Linked DNA regions of Diceros bicornis minor. The protein of the gene in region 2 interacts with the protein of the main gene of each other region in a pairwise test. Links are inferred from orthologs where the notes say so. Each region holds a gene or a part of one and is shown on either strand. Other genes may lie near its edges.

What was found.
Region 1: the proteins of NTAQ1 (region 2) and CDA interact in binary tests that used the Homo sapiens proteins (3 or more experiments, as listed by UniProt). The two-hybrid records come from large-scale screens. The link is inferred for Diceros bicornis minor from reciprocal best matches to the Homo sapiens genes NTAQ1 and CDA.
Region 3: the proteins of NTAQ1 (region 2) and nucleoside diphosphate kinase A 1 interact in binary tests that used the Homo sapiens proteins (3 or more experiments, as listed by UniProt). The two-hybrid records come from large-scale screens. The link is inferred for Diceros bicornis minor from reciprocal best matches to the Homo sapiens genes NTAQ1 and NME1.

What each region holds. Positions count from the first base shown.
Region 1 is NC_080752.1:37,612,291-37,620,287, forward strand, and holds the start of CDA (cytidine deaminase), read left to right. Parts: upstream 1-4,994; 5' UTR 4,995-5,039; coding exon 5,040-5,193; intron 5,194-7,997. UniProt on the Homo sapiens protein: This enzyme scavenges exogenous and endogenous cytidine and 2'-deoxycytidine for UMP synthesis.
Region 2 is NC_080760.1:38,988,564-38,996,420, forward strand, and holds the start of NTAQ1 (protein N-terminal glutamine amidohydrolase), read left to right. Parts: upstream 1-4,854; 5' UTR 4,855-4,948; coding exon 4,949-5,037; intron 5,038-7,857. UniProt on the Homo sapiens protein: Mediates the side-chain deamidation of N-terminal glutamine residues to glutamate, an important step in N-end rule pathway of protein degradation.
Region 3 is NC_080757.1:35,293,794-35,301,316, forward strand, and holds the start of nucleoside diphosphate kinase A 1, read right to left. Parts: upstream 3,004-7,523; 5' UTR 2,907-3,003; intron 2,701-2,906; exon of another isoform or gene 2,630-2,700; intron 1-2,629. UniProt on the Homo sapiens protein: Major role in the synthesis of nucleoside triphosphates other than ATP. The ATP gamma phosphate is transferred to the NDP beta phosphate via a ping-pong mechanism, using a phosphorylated active-site intermediate.

The sequences.
Region 1 (7,997 bases), on a different chromosome or scaffold from region 2:
TTCTAGTTGCTGTATGTGGGACGCGGCCTCAGCATGGCCAGAGAAGCGGTGCGTTGGTGCGCGCCCGGGATCCGAACCTGGGCCACCAGCAGCAGAGCGCGCGCACTTAACCGCCAAGCCACGGGGCCGGCCCAAAAGTAAAACTTTAAAACTTTGCAGAAAATTTCTTCATACAAATCCCCTTATGGATCCTTGTGAGTGTCTCTGTTTACCTAGGGCTGGGAACACTGAATCTCAAGGTAAATGCATACCTAATTTCCCTAAATCCTGCTAGATTGCTCTCCAGGAAGCTGTACTAGTCTGAAACCCCAGCAGCAGCACGTGAGTGTTCCAGTCTCCCCTCATCTTTGCCTGCACTTGTCGTCATCCTAGTTTTTTTTCTTTTTGGCATTCTGATAGGTGTAAAGTGACTCATTGTGTTATTTTCATTTCTGTGACTATAAGGAAATTGGGCAAATACTTCCTGCCATTTGGGTTCCCCCTTCTATAAATTGCCCATTCATATCCTTTGTCCATCTCTTTATAGAGTTTCCTGTCTGTGTCTTGTTGATTTGCTGTCAATTTCTTACATAATCACTACGCTATTCGTTTGTTATTGTTCTAGCCATCGAAATTTTTTTTTCAGTTTTTTTAACCTTCTGCTAGCTTTGTCTATGAAGTCCTTGACTGAACAAAACTCCTTAATTTTTATGTGGCCAAGTTCGAAGACTTGAAAATTTGTAGAGAAGTTCTTTCCAGCCCTATTTCTTCCGTAAAATACCTGTTCAAGCCTTTTGCTTACTATTCTATTGAGATGTTTGTCTTTTTCTTACTGATTTTAGGAATTCTTGATGTATTATGGATCCTAATCCCTCTAGGGAGTGTTAACTCCCTGACATTTCTGGCCTCCCCTATGCATGGGCTAAGCACACTCCTGTGCCCAGGGTATGCATAAGGTAGGAAGCCATGAGTATGTCCAGGATCTATCCACTAAAGCTGGAGGTGGCCTCTGGGGTGGCTAAGGGGGTAGATGAGGCACTGACAGCATCTGCTATACCCACTGGATTAGTTCCCTGGGACCGCCATAACAAAGTACCACAAACTGGGTGGCTTAAAACAACAGAAATTTCTTCTCTCACAGTCCTAGATTCTGGAAATCCAAAATCAAGGTGTCAGCAGGGTTGGTTCCTTTCGAGTCTGTAAGGGAAAATCTGTTCCATGTCTCTCTCCTACCTTCTGGTAATGGCCATCAATCTTTGGCATTCCTTGGCTTGTAGATGCCTTACTGCAGTCTCTGCCTCCATCTACACATGGTAATCTCCCTGTGTCTCTGTGTCTTCCATGACCATCTTCTTGTGAGGACACCAGTCATATTGGATTAGGGGCCCACCATATTCCAGTATGGCCTCATCTTAACCAATTATACCGGCAATGATCTTATTTCCAAATAAGGTCACATTCTGAGGTACTGGAGGTTAGGACTTCAACATATCTTTTTTTGGGGGGGGGCATGATTCAACCCATAACACCCACATTGTCCACTCTGAACATCCAGCCATCATTTAGGACTCCTCTTAGCCTCCTGTCATCTGGGAAGCTTTCTCCAGCCCACCTCCCCACCGCTCCCTCCAGATAATTAGTTATTCAGTATTGTCACAGGACCCAGTACCTAATTGTGTGTTATAGTGTTTTATACCTATCTATTGACTTGCCTGTCTCCTTCACTAGAGTATGAGCTCCTCAAAGGCAGGTACCAAGTCTCATTCAACTGATTCTCTAGTGCCCTGCACAGGGCCTGGCACACAGTTTTCATTATAATAGGAGCTAATACTTGTTGAGCACTTACCACGTGCCGGTCACTGTGCTAAGAGCTTTACATATAACATCTCACTCAATTTTTACAACAATCCTAGGAAGTAGTATTTTAGCCTAGATGCCATAGAGCTGACAGAAACAAAACTTAAAAAAGTTTAAGCAAGAAGTGAATTACTGGCTCAATAGAAGGAAAGTCTAGAAGCATGCCTCAGGCATGGCTGGATCCAGGCACTCAGAGGGAAATCAGGGTTCTTTCCCTCCACCTCTCACCTCTGCCTCTCTCCACCTGGCTTCACTTTGCAAGCAGGCTCACTCTACCCGGAGGGCAAGCTGGCCGTCAGCAATAGTCACATCCTCTTAGCTTAGCCACCACAGTGGGAGAAACCAACATTCCCAGCAGAAAGGTGAGGTCTCTGATGGGCCATCCTGTGTCAACTGCCTAGGCCCACCAGGGAGTGGAAGCACAGTGACTGGCAGCCCATCAGGAGGTCTCCCCTAAAGGGGACGAAATAAAAGAAATGAGAAACCTTCTCGAGCAGAGTAAGGCTACGGTCACCATAAGCCACCCTAGGTGGGTCCTGGAGTTGTCTCACTGTATAAATGAGGAAAGCAGGGCACAGAGCGATGAGCTACCTTGCCTAGGTACCCAGCTGGTAATAAGAGGCAGAAGGAGGATTTGCCAGTCCGTTATACCCGCTCCGCATGAGTTCAGGGATGGACAAGAGTCCAGGATTCGGATGGAGGCAGACAAACCCGGGTTTGAGATCCATTTCTGATCCCCATGAGCTCAGTGTCCTCATCAGTAAAACGCAGGCAATAATATGGCCAGTGTGTACCTTGTGGTAAGGATTACATGAAATAATTCAAGTCCTGCATTTAGCACAGGGCCTGGCACATGGAAAGAGCTAAAGCAGAGTTAGCTATTATTATGAGTAACTATTCATTGAATGAATGAGTGGGTGGTATCTGAGCTCTAACACAGGGACTCTGGGTGGTTCTCTTCACAGAGGAAAGGCCTAGGGGATGGGGGTGGGGGAACTTTGGGCCCTTGACAATCTCCACCACCACTCAAAATACCTTCCTTGGATATTCCTATTCTTTGAGTTAATTCTTTGGGCAATTAATTTCTCTCAATTTTATATAAAGTGGAGATTAAAGCATGTTTAGAAAATTCTGTTAATATTATTGATCTATAACTTAGCTCTAAGAAAGTCTCCAGGCCCATGCTCCCTTTCCATCCAGATGGCCACCCCAAGCCCCTTCTATAAGGAAATCTAGAGCTACTGCTGGCTCCCAAGCTCCATACAGCGGAGTTTGCAATGGGCGCTGTCCCCATTTATTACCATGTGCCGGGAAAGAACTTCAAAGGTGCCAACGGCCATCATAATTAGCCTGGAAGTCATCCCAGTTTTCCTGTAACTGGGGAGCCAAGGAGTCCAGCCCTGGGTCTGGGCAGAGCTGGGGTGAGTCAAGACAGGGCAGGAACAGGCCTGGCAGGCCAGCAGGGCACCACACCCCTTTTCCCAGTTGTAGTTATACTTGGCCACCAGAAGCCTTAGAAGTATTCCCATGTTGAGTGGGTACACATGGTCCCAGGACATCCTTTGCTTTCTTTCCCTGGGGAAAGGGCATCTGGGCAGTGCAGGAATAGAGGAGACCGGGAGAGCATTCCCAGTGGTTTCTCTGCCTGCCCTGCCTCAGATCCAGGAAACTGCTCTAGATGCCAAAGGTGTAGATCCAGGAGGAAAATGCAATAGCAAGCAGGAGGGAACCAGCTGCTTCTCTGAGGGCTGGATGTGCAGAAAGGGGGTGGGGGAATTCTGAAGGGGGGAAGGGAGGGGAGGGGAGGAGGAAATGAGGCAAAGTGCCCAACTCTACAGTGGCCCAGCAGGGTCTCTACGTGGCTGAGAGCTCCAGGCCCAGGACACAGAGGGGCCAAGGTGCAGGACACAGGGATGCTGGGCTGCAAAGCACAGAGATGTCAGCATGCAGAACCTGGAGACGCGGCCTCATTTTCTGCCCCCTCCCCTACCGTTCCCCCTTCCCCTTCCTCACCCCCCATCCAAGCCCTCAGAGAAGCCGCTGATTTACTCCTGCCTGCTGGGGGTCTGGGGACATTTGGACACCTCTGGACACTGTTCTGCCTTCCTATGTGATCTTAGCCAAATCATTTAATGACAATAACCCAATCCGCATGGAGCCACAAAGTGTGCTAACATCATGATGTCACAGGATCCTCCAACCATATGCATTGTATACACATTACCTCATTCGATCCTCGCAACAACTCTGTGAAATACCGTTAGTGCACCCACTTTACAGATGAGGAAACTGAGGCTTAGAGGGGTGGTATGACCTCCACAAGGTCATACGGCTAATAAGTGGCAGAACTGGAATTCAAACTAGGATCTACCAAACCCCCACACTCAAGCTCTTCTGTGATCTGAGGACGTAGCACAGAGATTAACGCTATCCCCACTGTAGAGACCAGGAAACTGGCTTAGAGAGGTCACGTAACTTGCCACCCATTACACATGTGGAAAATGGTGGAGCCAGGATGCAAACCCATTTCTTTTAGCACCAACCCAGTGTTCATTTTGCCAACAAAAATAGGAGAAGGCCCCGGTAGATGATCTCTGAAGTTCCCTCCAGCTGAGATACTTTTTAAGTTCTGTGTTGAGGCAGCGAGGAGTTGGAAGGAGAATGGGTGAAATAAGGAAGCTCCTCAATCTTATTGCTGCACTCACACTATGTGTCTCAAGAATGTGGCTGCCCCAGCCCCTCCCTTTCAGCCTCACTCCTTCCCTCAGTGACAGAGAGAAGAAGTCATTCAACAGAGAGTTTCAGCCCTTGGAGCTGGGACTTCCTAGACCTCATGCTGACCCGCCCAACAGCATCTCCTCTGAGGAGTGTGTGTCCACAGTCACCCCCAGCATGGTGGCACCCGTCCCCTGACCCACTCACCCATCAGTGAGGCAGCAGTGTGAGTGGTCCCAAGGGAGAGTGTGAAGCACACATCCTTCCATGCTGGACACACACTAGCTCAGCCTTACACACCACACCCTCTGACTCAGAACTACTGGACACTCCTCTCCCTGAGCGGGCCCCGCCCAGCATCCCCGCAGGCGGGCATCTGGCAGCCCCTCCGCAGGGACACACCCGGGGGGAGGAGCTGCCGTCTTAGTGGGGCCCAGCTCAGGCAGACGGCGAGCTTGTTTCCTCTCCTCCGCAGCCCAGGAACCGACATGGCCCAGGAGCGTCCCGCCTGCACCCTGGAGCCCGAGCAGGTCCAGCAGCTGCTGCTCTCCTCCCAGGAGGCCAAGAAGTCAGCCTACTGCCCCTACAGTCACTTCCCTGTGGGGGCCGCCCTCCTCACCCGGGACGGGAGGATCTTCTCGGGTAAGGGCTGGCGCCCGGGGGCCCCATCCCTGGCAGCCTGGATGGGGAAGTCAGAGGACAAGTGGACAAGTGGGAAGGACACACAGAAGGCACAGGCAGAGAAGAGAGCAGCTCTGTCCCCTCCTCCCTGAGCATCCCCTGTAACGCTGCCACTCACCCCTGCCCTGCCCACTGGCCCAGACTGCGGGATTGAAGGTGTAAAGGAGCCCCGAAAACTCATCTGCTGCTTAAATCTAGGGGCTTTCAATTCTTGGAGGACTGGGAAGCAAGGGTGGGATGAGGAAGCAAGCTGGAGGGGAGGCATCCGCAGTCCTGGTGTGCGGGGAGGGAGAGGGTTAATACTTTCTGAGCCCTCCTCTGTGTCTGGACCCTCTAAGGCTCCCACAAGTTCTATCAGCAAGTCCTCACCTCCGACCCACTGACCTAGGTGTTATGCCCATTTTTCAATGAAGAAACTGAGGCTCAGAGAGATGACATGACTTGCTGAAGGCCACACGGGGCGCTGGTGGTGGAAGCCAGGGCTGGGGTCCCCAAAACCCTGCTTTTTCCCGTCACCCACCATGCTAAGGGATGGAGAAAGCCCGGAATCCAGGTCAAGTGACTTGTTTGTGGGGTGCGGGCCTTGCAGAGGGTCTTGGAGGAAAGAAGCCAGGCTGGGTTTGGGTGACCAGCAATGAGTGCCAGCCTGGGGAGGGGGGGACAGGAATCCGAGTCAGCACAAATCTGTTCCTAAGCAACTTTTCTTTGGTTTGTTGGTTTTATAAAAAAGCTCACTTGGACAAAATTTCACACTTGTTTTTGCTAAGTTAAGGGGCATTCTATTTCAGGACAGTGGGGAACATGCTGTGGAGGTGGCAGGGAAGCCAAGCCCCTCCCCACGCCTCTCATTCCCACCACCACCCCAGAGCAGATGAGAATTGGCACAGAGGGACGGACGGGAGCACCGAGTCCTGCTGCCTAGAACTCCCCCTCTGCTTGGCAGCAGGTAGTTAAAGGAGCAAAGACTCACATGTGTGCATCGAATTGGTAACCCCCAGCACCCTGGGCCAGGTGTGAGCCACTCGCCCCCACCACCACTCAGCTGTGAGTCTGCTGCGGCCCCCGCCTCACCTTCTATAGCTCTCCTTGATGTTCATGTTATCTCTTGTCTTTTGAGGTTCTGTCAGTTTCATGAGTCACCCGGGTTTTAAACATCTTTGAGCAGGAGAAGGAACCTTGAGTGAGTCCTAATACATGAAAGGAACGTGCCTAATGTTACCCATCTAAGCCTTAGAACCCCGCAAGGTGGTTATTACATCCCCACTTTGCAGAGAAGGAAAGAGGCTCCAAGAGGTTAACTCGCAAGAACTGGGATTCAAACCCAGGGCTCCTCTGACTCCGAAGTCTGCTCCTCTGAGGGGAACAAAGGATCTCTGAGTCTCATGTGGAAGTTCAGGCTTGGCCTGGTGGCTCAGACAGGTATTAAACATTGCAACCCACGCTGCCCCACGGCTCCAGGGCCATGAACATGGAATCAGCTACTGATTCTTCCCAATGCCTCCACATCTCCTCCAGACGGTATACAGGAAGGGGCCCTGCCCATCCTTGCATTGATTCATTCATTCCACAAATATTTGCCGAGCACCAATTATGTGCTAGGTAACGTACCAGGTTCTGGGGATATCACAGCAGAAATGACATAGTCCCTGCCCTTAAGGAGGTCCCCTCCTCTTGCACAGGCCATAGCTCAAAGTGGGATCCTCAGCCAATGATTATAGGAGTGAATGAATGAGGTGAGCAGGAGTGAAGCCTATTTAAATTGCAGAGAAGGACCTGGTGTCCCCAGAGAAAGGGTTGTGCAATGTGGATTCAGGGAGGCCCTGTGAGATGGGGTGAAGCTCGGGAGTTAGAGGCTCCTGGGTTTGAATCCTGGTGCTGCTGTTTATCAGCTATGTGACCCTGGGCAAGACCCTTGACCCTTCTGAGTCTCAGCTTACACGTGAGCAAACGGAGGATCATTACGCCCGCTTTTCAGGATGGCTGTGAACAGAGCAGGTTTGCGTGGCCTGGCGTGGCAGCCAGGGTCCCCCCTGACGTTTGGAGCCTGTGCTGCATCAGTCACTGAAAATGCTGAGTCTCGTGCCTGGTTGTGAGGCTTTGTAGGAGCTAATGCCTATGAAGGGATTGGCACGGTTTCTGGCCCACAGTAAGACGGTCACATATGATGGCTGCTTCTACTTGGACGATGATGATGATGATGACGATGAGGGGGAAGCGGATCGTGGAGGCCTTTTGAAGGCCAAACAGAGACATTGAGATTTGATGAGGTAGGAAGTAGAGAGCCCAGGAACGTTACTAAGAAGAAGAGCAACGTGAAAGTGGTGTTTGAGGACAGTTAGTCTGACAGGTACTCAAGGAGCGCTGGGGCAGAGGGAAGAGTGTCAGGGGGACCATGTCTGTCTTGTTTGCTGACCTGTCCCCTGTGCCAGCGCATTTCCTGGCCTGTAATACATCCTCAGTTAAGCTTCGGTGAACGCGTGAATGAGCGGCTTGGACTAGAACAGTAGCAGGTGGAATGAAGAGCAAGGAAAGATCTCAGAGATATTGTGTGGGACAAATGGACCGGGCCTGGGATTGGCAGTATTAGAAATAAAGGAAAGGAATATGGTTCTAGGACTTCCAGTGAGGTGGGCCGGGGGAGTGATGAGGCACGGACCGAGGTGGGAAGCTGAAGGCAGAGCTGGATTATGCTGGGGGCATGATGGGCAGGGACCAACAGCAACATTCAGAGACACGATGGATTGAGCACTCACTAAGCACTCGGT
Region 2 (7,857 bases):
AACTAATACATGTGAAAAATTCAAGCAGTACAGAAATGTAAAAGATAAAGGTACAAGTCACTCTGTGTGATTGCTATGAGGAAAAAGAAGTTTTCTCATTCCACTGGGGCTGCCCAGCCTGGAAAATATGAATACGGGACTGCCAGCAGCCATCCTCCCCACAGCAAGAAGTGAAGTCACCTCCGAATGAAGCCAAGCACTGAGAAACAGACTGAGAGATGGGAGAAAGAAGGCCTGGGGAACTGTGTTCTGCTTTTTGGTCCCTTGAGACCCTAGTTTCAGCAGCTCATCCTCTGACTGTGAGAGCCACTTCAGTGTCCTTCCTGGTAAAGGAGCTGATAAACAGCCTTTCTGCCTTCACTTTTAATCGAACAAGTCAGGACTAATAAAACCGGGCCAGCTGTTTTTTGGAATCAAATTATACTGCTTGTGCTATAATCCTATTCCAATGATCAATTAATTTTTCCAACAACCTCCTCGAAATGAGGTCCATTTGGCATGAAATGGGCTCGGTAAACCACTAAGGCCCCCTAAATAATCACTTTTTCTTCGTGGTCACAAATCCTCCTGGGAATAGGCATCAAGTTCTCCAGGGTATAGTGTCTGGAATACATATTTTTTTTCCTTTTATGAAACTCAAGACAGCAAGTAGTCGTATTTATTCAGCCTTATGTCATCTCCTCCATCATTTTCTCAAAGATCCATAAGAAAATCTAAATCTATGGATTTGGGGGTCATAATCTAAAGCACTTTCAGTACACTGGGATATAACTCTTCTGGGTCTGAAGATTTTTAACCCATTTAAGGCAATTTCGTGCTTTCTACCGCTGTACCCGTCTTAGTCTTAATTTCCTCTTACTGCTATTTTCCTTATTCATTCAAGGTTGAGAATCACTTTCTTTGATAGACAAAATGCAAGCAAAACAGACATTGGGTATTCTTGTTTCCTTTCAGTTGTCTGATCACATCATATCATATGGTCCCAGGCAATGGGATTATCTCTCCCTTTTTCTTCTAGCTCTTAATATTGAGCATTGAAAATACTCCCTCCTCCGATAAAAAATAAACCCCCCTTTTGTTATTAAACCTCGGTGTATTATGTGCTGTAGACTTCCTGAATCTCCTCTTTCACATCTGTGGCCCCTTTTTATACTTTCTTTTGTTATGTGTTCCTCCTACTCTAAACTCCTGCCCTTTAACATCCTAATTTCATTGGGTATTGGCTTCCTTGAATGCATCTCTTCTTTCTTCCTCATCCAGATCACTGGAGTTTGTAGGTCAAAATCTGGTTCTAAGCACCTCCTACTCCTCTGAAACCATATCCCTTTTTATAGTCTCTACTATGCCCTGGTGGTCCAGTAGTTAAGATTTGGTGCTCTCACCACAGTGGCCTGGGCCTGGGTTTGCTTCCCAGTCAGGGAACACCACCACCCGTCTGTTGGTTGTCATAATGTGGCAGCTGCGTATTACTATGATGCTGAAAGCTATGCCACTGGGATTTCAAATATCAGCAGAGGGTGCTGGCCCGGTGGCATAGTGGTTAAGTGCGCATGCTCCGCTTTGGTTGCCCAAGGGTTCGCAGGTTCAGATCCCAGGTGCGCACTGATGCACCGCTAGTCAAGCCATGCTGTGCCGGTGTCCCATATAAAGTAGAGGAAGATTAACCAGGGCCAATCTTCCTGGGCAAAAAGAGGAGGATTGGCATCAGATACTAGCTCAGTGCTGGTCTTCCTCACACACACACACACAAAAATACCAGCAGAGTCACCCATGGTGGGCAGGTTTCAGCAGAGTTTTCAGACTAAGAGAGACAAAGAAGAAGAACCTGGCCACGAAAACCCTATGAATAGCAGTAGAGCATTGCCTGACCCACCTGGAATGTGAGAGGATGGAACAAAACGACCAGGTAGGGTGCCACTCTGCTGAACACAGGGTCACTAGGAGTCACAATCGACTCCATGGCACTAACAACAACACAACCATGAAGTCATATGAATATTTAAAATATGATCTATTTTTTTCAATTTAAAAAGTAATTCCTATTTATAAGAGAAAGTTTAAAGCATAAAGAAAGCACATTATGGCAGAGACTGCTGGCTGCCCTGTACCCCCTTCTCTATTGCTTGCCCCGCAACTCCAGACCACCTCCACCCTGGGTAAACCAGTGAACTTCTCTGCTATCTGGGAGCCAACCCATGCCTTCTCCAACGAGGTCCAAACCGCTTTCATATTTGCCCTTTTTTGTTTTTTTTTTGGAGAGGTACATATATAGGTGTTTTTTTGTTTTTTGTTTTTTGTGAGGAAGATCAGCCCTGAGCTAACATCCATGCCAATCCTCCTCTTTTTGCTGAGGAAGACTGGCCCTGGGCTAACATCTGTGCCCATCTTCCTCCACTTTATATGGGACGCCGCCACAGCATGGCCTGACAAGCGGTGCATAGGTGCGCACCCAGGATCCGAACCTGGGCCCCCAGCAGCCGAGCGTGTGCACTTAACTGCTACAACACGGGGCCGGCCCAGTACATATATAGTTTTATCAAGCTTTCTTTATTTTTATTGTGGTAACATTGGTTTATAACATTGTGTAAATTTCAGGTTTACATCATTATACTTCTATTTCTGCATAGATTACATCATGTTCACCATCCAAAGACTAATTGCAATCCATCGCAAATACACATGTTCCTAATCATCCCTTTTGCCCTCCTCCCTCCTTCCTTCCCCTCTGGTAACCACCAATCCAATCTTTGTATCTATGTATTTGTTTGTTGTTGTTTTTATCTTCTACTTATGAGTGAGGTCATATGGTATTTCACCTTCTCCCTCTGACTTATTTCGCTTAGCATAATACTCACAATGTCCATCCATGTTGTCACAAATGGCTAGATTTCATCGTTTCTTATGGCTGAGTAGTATTCCGTTGTGTATATATACCACATCATCTTTATCCATTCGTCCCTTGATGGGCATTTAGGTTGCTTCCAAGTCTTGAATAATGCTGCAATGAACACAGGGCTGCATGTATCTTTATGCATTCGTGTTTTCATGTTCTTTGGATAAATACCCAGCAATGGAATAGCTGGCTCATATGGTAGTTCTATCCTTAATTTGTTGAGGACTCTCTATACTGTTTTCCATAGTGGCTGCACCAGTTTGCACTCCCACCAGCAGTGTATGAGAGTTCCCTTCTCTCCACATCCTCTCCAACACATGTTGTTTCCTGTCTTGTTAATTATAGCCATTCTCATTGTAGTTTTGATTTGCATTTCCCTGATAGTTAATGATGTTGAACATCTTTTCATGTGCCTGTTGGCCACCTGTATATCTTCTTGGGAGAAATGTCTATTCAGGTCTTTTGCTTGTTTTTTAATTGGGTTGTTAAGTTTTTTTGTTGTTGATAAATTTGTCCTTCTTAAGTACTCTTCACCAGCCCTAGGTACCATATAGAGTTTCCTTATATCTTATAGCTACACTTATATCATAGTTACTTCTTTTGTTTTGTTTTGTTTTTGCTGAGGAAGAGTCTCCCTGAAGTAACATCTGTTGCTGATCTTCCTCTTTTTTTGCTTGAGGAAGATCCCTGCTGGGAACCCAACCCAGGCCAGGGAAGCAAAGGATGCCAAACTTAACCAACAGGCCACGGAGCCACTTGGCTGGCCCCTATCATAGTCAACCCCATGTGGAAGTGTGTATTCAGAGCTGAGATGCAATAAATCGATAACCAACACGAGGATTTATGCTCAGTCTTTAGGATTTATGTACTTTAGAACTCACGAGACTGAAGAGATCTGTAGACAGCCTATAAACCAACCTAAGAATTTCAGTTTTTATAATGGGAAGTACCCTGATCAGCTATATATGACCTTTGCAAATATAGGCAATTCAGAAGGCTATAAAGTGAAAGTCCTCCATACCATTCATTCACCAGAAATAAACACTGTTTTAACAATTTGGTGTCCTTCCTCCCAGACTGCCAGCAAATAAACAAATACATGATTAACACAAAATGGATACCACGCGACTCTTTTTCAACTTTTTTTTACTTACTATATCAAGGAAACAACGTATCTTTCTGAGCCAGTACGTACAATTTTCCTATTTAAAAAAATGTTACAATACGGCCAGATTTTGGGGTGATAGCCTTCTCTGAAACCGCCCTTGATGAGGAAGTATTTGGAATTAACCTCCCCGCTCCCTCCTCCCTCCCCAGCTCCCCGCGGACTCTAGGCTCCAAGCGCTCAAGCGTCGTTTTTCACACACAAGGTTCGCTTATTTCACTCGCACACGTCGAGTCTTCGGCGTCTCATCCGGTTCCTCCACAACTGGCAACCCGCCCCAGGCTGGAAGATGGGTCTCAGACTCCTCCGGGAGACTCACGAAGTGCCGTGCAGGGTCCAAGGGCTTACCAACTCCAAGCCCTCCCCTGACATTTCTCCAAGCCACCTGCCACTGACCTCTCATCTCCCCCAGCCGCCCGGACCCTCCCGGTTACCGACACCCCTAGCACTGCCGGCCCCGCCTCAGCAGGCACCAGCGCCGCCCCGCCCCTGACTCCACCCACCTCGCCGGGCTCCGCCTACTCGAAACACGCGGTCCTCCTGGTCCCGGGCTCCGCCCACTGGGAACTCACGCCGCTCACCCACCCCAGATCCGCCCACTTCGCCCTGGCTCCACCCTTCCGGAACCTGCGCGGTGCGTCCCGCCCAGGCTCCGCCCTCCGGAATTTGCACCGCCCGCCAGGGCCTCGCGCGCGGGGAAATGCGCCGTTCGCCCTGCCCCGGCCCCGCCTACCCCGGGAACTGCAGCAGCGGCCACCCCCCCAGGCTCCGCCCACTCCGCACCGAGAACCCGCGCGGGCTGCTGTACGCTGGCTCCTCCCCGAGGCCGGCCAGGGGGCTGTTCCAGTCGGTCTGCCTTTAGCGGGTGCCCCGACCCAAGCTAGCCCGCCATGGAGGGGGGTGTCTCCGCTGCTGCAGCCGCCCACTACCAGCCGGCCAGCCCCCCGCGGGACGCCTGTGTCTACAACAGCTGCTACTGGTGAGGGGGCGCGGGCGCAGCCCCCGCATCTCCCGGGCTCCCTCGGCCGCGCTGTCGCAGCCGGGCCCCGCCTCTTCCCGGCCCCTCCCCGGGGGCGCTCGGGGCCTCGACTGGCTGGTTTGCGGTTTGAGGGGAGGAGGGAGCGGGAATTGCAGCTCTCGCGTCTGGAGCAGAGCGTGGGCATTTGGATTGGGGGGCGGATTCGCCAGGCGTGGTAGGGTCGGTGGTGCATTACTTCTGCCTGGCGCTTTTGTCTGGGACGTTTCTCAGCAGATCTCAGCGCTTGGGGGCCAGGAAGGGGAGTTGGAGGCCGAGGGTGGAGCGCGGAGAGCCTTCGGAAATTAACTCTGTTGCAGCCTGTGTGGTTTCACATTGATGTGAAGGTCATTTTAATTTTGAAAAAGAATGGGGGCACGGAGATTTTGCAGTAACTTTGCCAAGGTCACCCAGCTAGGAGCAGCCAGGAATCCAGTTCGGGACCTCTTGTACCAGAAACCGTGTTAACCACTATGCTGTCATTATGATAAAGGTTACACTTAGACATCACTTGCTGTATGCCAAGCACTGTTCTGAGTGGTTTGTGTAAACTAATTATTTGAACCACAGGAGCCCCTAGGAGGTAGGACTACTGTTATCTACCTTTTCAAGATGAGAACACTGAAGCACAGAGGGGTGCAAGTAATTTGCCTACGGACATAGCTAGTGAGTGAAGGAATGGGGATTTACATGCAGAGTTTGGCTCTGGGGTCCACACACTGTACCCTTGGTTTAGGCTACGTCTGTGGCAGAGGCACCCCTCCTGCCTTGGTCCTTTTTGCTCCCACACCTACCCTTCTCTTGCCTGAGTATGACTTCTTCCCCAATTTCCAGTCCCTGCACAAGAAACCTTAGGGGCATCTAAAACTACTTTTCCCTCCTTCAGCTGGTCACCAAACCAGTGCCTCCAAGAGCTTAATATTTGTTCAGCTCTGACTGCATGTAAGGAAAGGCCTAGTGCCAAGTGCTTCCATGCGTGCCTGGGAGATAGGTTCTGTGACTATCATTATCCTCATTTTACTGATGAAATGACTGAACCACAGAGTGGCCTGTTGTTTGCCCAAGATCACACATCTAGCAAGTGGTAGTGCCGAAACCGGAACCTCCGCAATGCTCGAGTCCATGGTTCTGCCCTGCCTCTCACCTAAATCCTATTAGCTCGTGTCCCTAATGTCCATGCATTGTTTTATTCATTCATTCAATAAATGTTTATTAGGCACTTGGAGCGTGTGATGCATGATTCTAGGCACTAGGGATACAGCCGTGAACAACCAGACAGATTCCCTGGTAAGATCTCATGGTTCTTAGGTTTTGCAAACAAAAACATGTAAGCCATATTTGGGTGGTGTTAAGTGCTATGAGAAAAATAAACCAAGGTGAGGGATGGTGACTCATGCTGATTCATACAGTCATAGACAGAATGAATGGGCAGGGCTGTGTTCTAGTGAAACTACAGTATTAGGGTATTTAAGGAAGACATAGTTGATAAGGTGATGTTTGAACAGAGAGCTGAAGAGGAAGAGGGCGGGAGCTTTGTGGATATTGGAGGAAGATCATTCCAGGTGGGAGAAGCAGCAGGTGCAAAGGCTCTGAGAAGGAAGCGTGCGGTGAGTATTCTAGGAACACCAAGGAGGCTGGCACAGTTGGAGTGGAGCGATTGGTGGAAGAATGGTAGGAGATGAATGTCTCTTACATCATCTCCTTTTCATTCCTTCAGCCATAGGCCAGGCCCTCCTCAGCTGTCGGGGCCTGTTCCAGTCCTTCCTAACAGGCCTCCCTGCCTAGCTTGCCCTTATCCCGTCAGGTCTTTAACTTTAGCTGGCTTCACACTGCTCAAAGCCGTCCTAAATTTGAATGTGGTAGAGAATCACCTGGCAGCTTGTAAAACATGTAGCTCTTAGAGTCCCACCCCAGAAAGTCTGGATGTGGGAGCAGCACAGTGGAGGGGTCTGAATCTAGTCTGTTGATCACATTTCAAGGAGTACAGACATAGACAATAAAGTTTATCACCTGAGCATGGCAGGCCCTCCAAGATCTGGTCACCATCTGTTCCTCCAACCTCATTTTGAACCTGCCTTTGCTGCTCTACCCCAGGGTTTCTCAACCTTGGCTCTGTTGACCTTTGGAGCGTGTTAATTCTCTGTTGTGGGGGTCTCTTCTGTGCATTGTAGGATGTGTAGCAGCATCCCTTTCCTCTAGACACTAGAGGCCCATAGCACTCTCTCCCAATTTATGACAACCAAAAATGTCTCCAGACATTGCCAAATGTCACCTGGGCAGCAAAGTCACCTCTCATTGAGAACCAGTGCTCTGCCCTGTCTGAACACATCAGATAGGTACACCTTACTGTGTTTGCTCTTGTGGGTTCTTCTAACTTGAAATAAATGCCTCCTCTCTACTTCTGTTAGCTTCTGTCAGATGCTGCTTATCTTTGAGAGACGCCCAGCTTAAGGACAATAGTGGTAGCTAGTATTTGTGTCACACTGTGTGGTTTGCAGAGCACTCTGATTCTGTTGTAATTGTTTTGTATTTTTCAAACGTTTGTTGAGCACCTCCTGTGTGCCAGGGATCCTCCCCTTCTGCATACTTCTCTGACCTCAGCCCATCGCCAGTAACCCTTGCAGAATCTCAGCTCTAATGCTGCTTTGTTAGCCTTTCTGCTACCAATATAATCAACTGACAGGTTGAGACATTATCATCATCACCCCCCGACTTTTTTTTTTTTTTTTTTTTTTTTACCGGTTAAATGGGTACCAGAACTGACACCAAATCTGGGAACAGTGA
Region 3 (7,523 bases), on a different chromosome or scaffold from region 2:
GAAAGAAACAGCACTGAATATCCTGCCTACCTCACTATCCCTCAAGCAGATTATCCCACAAAGCTGGTTTAAATCTGTCACGTCAACTCCAAGTCTCTCTAGTAAAAACCCAGTTCCTCCTCAGGCCCTGCATTTATGAACCCATATCCCAGAGTGGGGAAGGGTCCAAGAGCAGGGGCTAGTTATTTCTAACCCATTTGACTTAATGAGCTTCTATTGAGCATCTGCTGTGTACTCAATACTGTGGCAGAACCCCAGTAGGAGATTTTAAAAAAAGACACTATCTTCTCAGTTATCCAGATGAGGAAAACTGCACTGATAATGTGACAGTGACATCTGGTACGAGGCAGTATGAAGTACAGTTTGATCTACTGCCAGTCATGGTATTAGAACCAAAAGGGGTTTTAGAGATGATTTCCCCTTCGTTTTACAAATGAGGAAACAGATTCAGAACACCAGAATGAGGACCAAAATCCCTATTTCCAATTTTGCATGGACCAAAAGCCCTATGCAATTTACGCCACATCATAAGATGTAATGAATAATCTGACTAATAAATGGAGGATTGTGAACTAGAGCCGTCAATAATATCTGATCTAGAACATCATGGTGGAAGGAAATCTAGAGACCGTCTATTCCAGACCTTTCCTTTTACAAAGAAGACTGGGTTCACGACCTGCTCTGTCTCCACCAGATGAGAAAGGAGGCCCTCACCTTGAAAGACAGTCCCTAATGTGGAGAGCAGCACCACCTCCTGGCTCCACCATCCTGGACTTCAGTTGTTAACCTCTTATTATAGCACCTTAATATATTTGAATGTTGTGTTTGTGTGTCTGTCTCCCCACTGGTCTACAGCCTGTATGCAGGTAGCCTCCCCTTATCTGCGGGAGATATGTTCCGAGACCCCCAATGGATGCCTGAAACCGAGGATAGTACCAAACAATATACAGGCATACCTCCAAGATACTGCAGCTTCAGTCCCAGACCACGGCAACAAAGCAAAAATTGCAATAAAGCGAGCCACGGGAATTTTTTGGTTTCCTAACGCATATAAAAGTTATGTTTACACTATACTGTAGTCTATTAAGTGTGCAATAGCATTATGTCTAAAAAAGCAATGTATACACCTCAATCAAAAAAATACTTTATGGCCAAAAGATGCTAACCATCATCTGAGCCTCCGGTGAGTCGTAATCTTTTTGCTGGTGGAGGGTCTTGTAAAAAACACATAAATAAAACAAAGTGCAATAAAACGAGGTATGCCTATGTATACTATGCTTTGTCCTATGTATACATACTTACGCTAAAGTTTGATAAGTTAGGCACACTAAGAGATTAACAACCATAACTAATAAGAAAATAGAACAATTATAACAATATACTGCAGTAAAAGTTATGTGAACGTGGTCTGTCGCTCTAAATATCTTATCGTACTGTACTGCACAGAAGAGCCGGGTTTCATCGCAATTGAAGACTTGCTTGGGCTGGTATCCTTGCTGCTTAATCAGCTTCTTCAACTCTGCCGGAAGCGTGGCAGCGGCTTCTTCATCAGCAGGCGCAGCCTCTCCAGTAATTTTTATATTTCTCAGTCCAAACCTAGTCCTGAATCTGTGTAACCATCCCTTACTCGCAGTAAATGTCTTGTTCTCACTTGTTTCAGGGGATCCCTTGCTGAAGTCTTCGTACAGGCTCAACGCTTTCTGGCGCAACATGTTGCCATCCAGCGGAACACATTTCCTGTTCATGTCTTCCACCCACAAACTTAAAGCCTTTTCCATCTTAACTAAGCATTTCCCACGCACTGTGGCCGTCACTTTTGCAGTTTGAGGTGCGACAGCAAAACTAGCCCGAATTTCTTTTTCCTTCTTCACGATTTCACGGATGGAAGATTCGTTCTTACCGTAGATCTTAGCAACCTCGGCATACGATTTTTTTTCTTTCCTTATTAAGTCCAGAACTTTCACCTTTTCACTTAAAGGAAGCACTTTTCGGCTTCTCTTTGGCGCATTCGAATTGCCAACGCCGCTATTCTTGCGCTTTGGGGCCATCATTAAGTAAAATAAGTGTTACTTGAACTCAAGCACCCGATGCCGCCTCAGTCGATCTGATAACCGAGAGGGCCACTAAGTGACTAATGCGGGTAGCATATTACAGCGTGGGTCCGCTGGACAAAAGGAGGATTCACATCGCGGCAGGACAGCGCGAGATTTCACCACGCTACTTAGAAGGGCGGGCAATTTAAATCTTATGAATTGTCTATTTCTGGAATTTTCCATGTAATATTTTCAGACGGAGGTTGACCGCGGGTCACTGAAACCTCGGAAAGCGAATCCGTGGTTAAGGGGAGACTACTGAACAGGGATGGTTTACTCCTCTCTCTGTCCCTGGTACCAAGCCACAGGGCCTAGCACTCAATAAGAGCAAAAAAAAAGTCTTCAATGATCTTGACCCTGCCCCTCGAAGAAAAAGAGGCAAAGCCCCAGGAGTGGCGGAGAACTCCCGATGGAAGCTGGAAACAGCATGGATTCCCCAGGAGGAAACGGGGCTAGGAGCCAGAAATTGTCCCTATCAACGTCCCTCCACACCCACGCCGGCACACACATCTGTCATTCATTCTGCAAGCACTTACTGAGCACCACCTCCGTGCCCAGCACTGCAGAGGACAGAGACAAATAAGGCACCACTCCTGTCCTTGCGGCCTGATGGGAAAGGCAGCCAGGACAAAGGCGAGTCCACGTGGCGCGGGACGTGCGCTGACAGGCTGGCACCTGCCGCAGGCGCTCCCGCCCTGCCCTCCCATCCGATCCCCTCCCACCTCTCGGAGCAGAACTCACCCGACCTCTCCACTTCCCCCTCCCCCGACCCCACTCCTCTCCCTCTCCTCTCAGAACCCGATCCCCTCTCACCCCTCCAGCTGCTCGGGATTCACCTCCGCCTGCTGCCCCCGGCACCGGAAACCTGCCCGGCCCCACGTGGTTGCCGGCAGCCGGACGCGCGGAACGCCTCTGCCCAGATCGGCTGCCGGAGAGCGCCTTTTGCAAAACACCACTCGCCCGCGCTTCCTCCTGTGAGCCGGCTGTCATTCTAGGGAGCAACTGCCCCATGTTTAACTTCCGGCCCTGGTCTTGCATGCTCTTCCGGCAAGCTCCCTGTTTTTTAAGATTCTGTGACTCACTTCCTTCGTTCTCCAGCAAATTGGCTTCCCGAGAGGTGGCGCTCGCGAGCGCCTGACCTGAAAGGAGACAAGTCGCTCTCGCTTGACGTGTCCTCATTCTTTCCAGCCTGTCAAGCAATGAGTTCTTAATTGAGTACTTACTCGGTGCCAGGCCGTAGTCCAGGGTCTGGGGCTATAGCAGTAAACTCTTCTGTGGCATCTGGTGGGGTTGGGAATGGGGGCAAACAATAAACAAACGAGCAAATCAATACGTAATGTAGTGCATTATGTAGATGCTGCTAAAAAAAAGCAAGGCAAGGGGGAAAGATTGAAGGAGTAAACTACTTTGCAAGATTGGCTGGGAAATCTCTGACGAAGTGACAATAGAACAGACCAGCATGAAGTGAGGGAGCAAGTCCGCTGGTTGTCTGAGGCCGAGAATTACAGGGGCAAGGGGTGGCAGAAAATGCGGTTGCAGAGGGGCCGGATTATGTTGGGGTGGGAAGCCACTGGAGGGTTTTGAACAGGGCATGACATCCTCTGATACACATTTAAAAAAGTCATTCTGGGGGCCGGCCCGGTGGCGCAAGCGGTTAAGTGCGCGCGCTCCGCTGCGGCGGCCCGGGGTTCGCTGGTTCGGATCCCGGGCGCGCACCAACGCACTGCTTGGCAAGCCATGCTGTGGCGGCGTCCCATATAAAGTGGAGGAAGATGGGCACAGATGTTAGCCCAGGGCCGTCTTCCTCAGCAAAAAAAGAGGAGGATTGGCGGATGTTAGCACAGGGCTGATCTCCTCACAAAAAAAAAAAAAAAAAAGTCATTCTGACTGCTGTATGAGGAATGGATGGAATAAGGTACAAAAGTGGAATCAGAAGTCTTTTCAACAAATGGTGCTGGAGCAGTTGGACATCTATAGGCCAAAAAAAGAGAACCTCCTCCTAAACCTCCTACCTTAAACAAAAATTCACTCAAAATGGATCATAAACTTAAATGTAAAATATAAAAGTATAAAATGTTTAGGAAAAAAACTTCAGTACTGTATTGTATATTTGAAAGTTGCTAAGAGAGTAGATCTTAAACACTCTCATCACAAAAAACAATTTGTAGGGGCCTGCCGGTGGCGCAGTGCAGGTGCTCCGCTTCAGCGGCCTGGGTTCTCCAGTTCGGATCCTGGGGGCGCACCCAGTTGCGCACCGACACACCGCTTGTCAAGCCACACTGTGGCGGCGTCCCATATAAAGTAGAGGAAGATGGGCACGGATGTTAGCCCAGGGCCAATCTTCCTCAGCAAAAAGAGGAGGATTGGCATCTGATGTTTGCTCAGGGCTAATCTTCCTCACACACGCACAAAAAATTTGTAACTATGTGTAGTGATGGCTGTTAGCTAGACTTTTTGTGGTGATCATTTAGCAATATATACAAACATCGAATCATTATGTTGTACACCTGAAACTAATATAATGCTATATGTTAATTATATCTCAATTAAAAAAAGAAGGGCCAGCCCCGTGGCTTAGCGATTAAGTGTGTGCGCTCTGCTACTGGCGGCCCGGGTTCAGATCCTGGGCGCACACTGACGCACCGCTTCTCCAGCCTGTAGCCGTGTCCCACATACAGCAACTAGAAGGATGTGCAGCTATGACATACAATTATCTACTGGGGCTCTGGAGGAATAAATAAATAAAAATAATTATAAAAAAAAAAAGAAAAAAATCTTTTTTGAGAGCTAGGCAAAGAGTTTTTAGACTTGCCGCCCAAAGCACAATCCATTAAAAAGGAAAAAGTTGATAAATTGGACCTTATCAAAATTAAAAACTTTTGTTCTTTGAAAGACCCTGTGAAGAGGATGAAAAAACAAGCTACAAAGTGGGAGAAAATATTTACAAACCACATATCCAACAAAAGCCTTGTATCTAGAATATATAAAGAACTCTCACAACTCAACAGTAAAAAAAAAAAAATCCAATAAGAAAATGAGCAAAAGACAGGAATAGACATTTCACTGAAAAGGATATGCAGATGACAAATAAGCACATGAAAAGATGTTCAACATCATTAGCCACGAAGGAAATGCAAATTAAAACCACAACGAGATATCACTACACACTTGTTATAATGGCTGAAATGAAAAAATAGTGACAACGGCAAATGCTGTCGAGGAGGAGGAACAGGATCCAGTCATACAATGCTGATGGGAATGTAAAATGGTACAGTCCCTCTGGAAAAGTCTGGCAGTTTCTTATAAAACGTAACATGTGCTTACCATATGACCCAGCAATTGCACTCTTGGGCGTTTATCCCAGAGAAATTAAGACTTATGTTCTATTCACACAAAAACCTGTGCACAAATGTTCATAGCAACTTTATTTGCAATAGCTAAAAACTGGAAACAACCCAAACATCCATCAAATGAATGCTTACGCAAACTGTGGTCCATCCATACCATGGAACACTACTCAACAATAAAAAAAGAAAAGAACTATTGATACAGGCAGCAACTTGGATAGATCTCAAGAGAATTATGCTGAGTGAAAAAAGCCAATTACAAGAAATTACATACTGTATTATTGCATTTATATAACATTCTTGAAATAACAAAATTATGGAAATGAAGAATAGATTAGTGGTTGTCAGGAGTTAGGGATGAGGGAGAGGGCGTGGTGCCTAAAGGGGTAACACAAGGGAGTCTTTTGGTGATGGAATAGTTCCGTATCTTGATTGTGGTGGTAGTTACGCCAATCTACACGTGACAAAGCTGCATAGAACTATACACACACACACACACAAATGAGTGCATGTAAAACTATAGACATCTGAATAAATTCTGTGGATGATAACAATGTCACTTTCCTGGTTTTGATATTGTACTATAGTTATGCAAGATGTTACCATTAGGAGACACTAGGTGAAGGGTACATAGGACCTCCTTGTACATATTTTTTTTGCAACTTCCCATGAATCTATAATTATTTCAAAATTTAAAAAAATTTTAAGCAGAACCAGGAAAACTGGTGGAGACTACAGTAGTAGTCCAAGCGGGAGAGGATGGTGGTTTGAACAGGTGGTGACCAAGGAAAGGGAGACAAGTGGCTAGTTACCAGCTACGTATTTAAGGTTGAGCCCATGGGTCATGATGACGGATAGGATGTGGGACATGAATGAAAGAAAAATAGATGTTGGTTCCCAGTTTTCTTTTTCCTTTTTGGGGGGGAGGGGTGCGTTAAATATCAGTCTGATAGAATTATTTACAAAGCTCCTTTTTAGTGGTTGGGGTCCACCATACTAGTGCTTCTAAAACCTCTATGTAAAAACGAGTCACCTGGGGATTTGTTAAAGTGCAAATTCTGACTCACTAGGTCCGGGATGGAGACTGAGAGTTTGATGATTCCAATGCTGTTGATTGATAGACTCTACAATACCATATCCTAGAGCCAGGTTCTTTTAAGTTGATGATTTAAGCCTTACTAGGTGGGGAGTGTCTTGCCCAGGCAGTTGCTGGAGAAGGGAGATAGGCAATACAAAACAGGAAGGTCTCATTTCTTCCTGGAAGCCATCCTAATTTCATGACTCAGCCTAACCTTCCTTTCCCAACCCTACACACAACCCTCCAGGCTTCCACAGTTAAATGTTTATGCAAACAAAATCAGAAAACAATAAGAATTTAAGGCTAAAAATAATGTTAATGAGCATATGGACCAATCCCTTCTCCAGAAACTTTAGCAAGGGTTTCAGTCTCTGCTTGAAACCTCCAAGAATGGGAATTTACTACCTTAGACATCAGGATCACTGGCTTTCCACCCTCCCCTGGCTAAAAAAAAAAAAAAGTGCTGCTAATCGAATATAGTCACCCCCCAAAATAATAGGAGTAATGTTTGGTGAACTGCTCTAATGATACCAACTACTGTGGAGAGAGCAAGAGTGGTCACCGGGCTGCCTTGCTAGAGTAGCGGAAAGATTTTACAGAGGAGGTAGAAGTTGGATACACAAAAAGAAGATGGTAAATAGATAAGTCCGGAGGTATTGGGAGATCAGGAAAATAGCCAAGAGCAAAGGATGCAAGCAGAAAAAAATAGAAAATATCTGAGAAACTGATTAGATGCTCCTAATAGAGGGCTATGGAATAGTGGGGAAAAAGACTACCAGTTTAGTGACAAGCCTTGAATGCTAGTCTAAGAAGCTGAGACCTTTGGCTGTAGTTAATGGAAAGTCATTGAAGCTTTGGAGATAGAACAGTGACGTGAGAAACGTCTTAAAATTCTAGAACTCAAAAAAACTGTCGAGGGGCTGGCCCGATGGTGTAGTGGTTAAGTTCGCACGCTCTGCTTCAGTGGCCTGGGGTTCGCAGTTTCAGATCCCAGGCATGCACCCA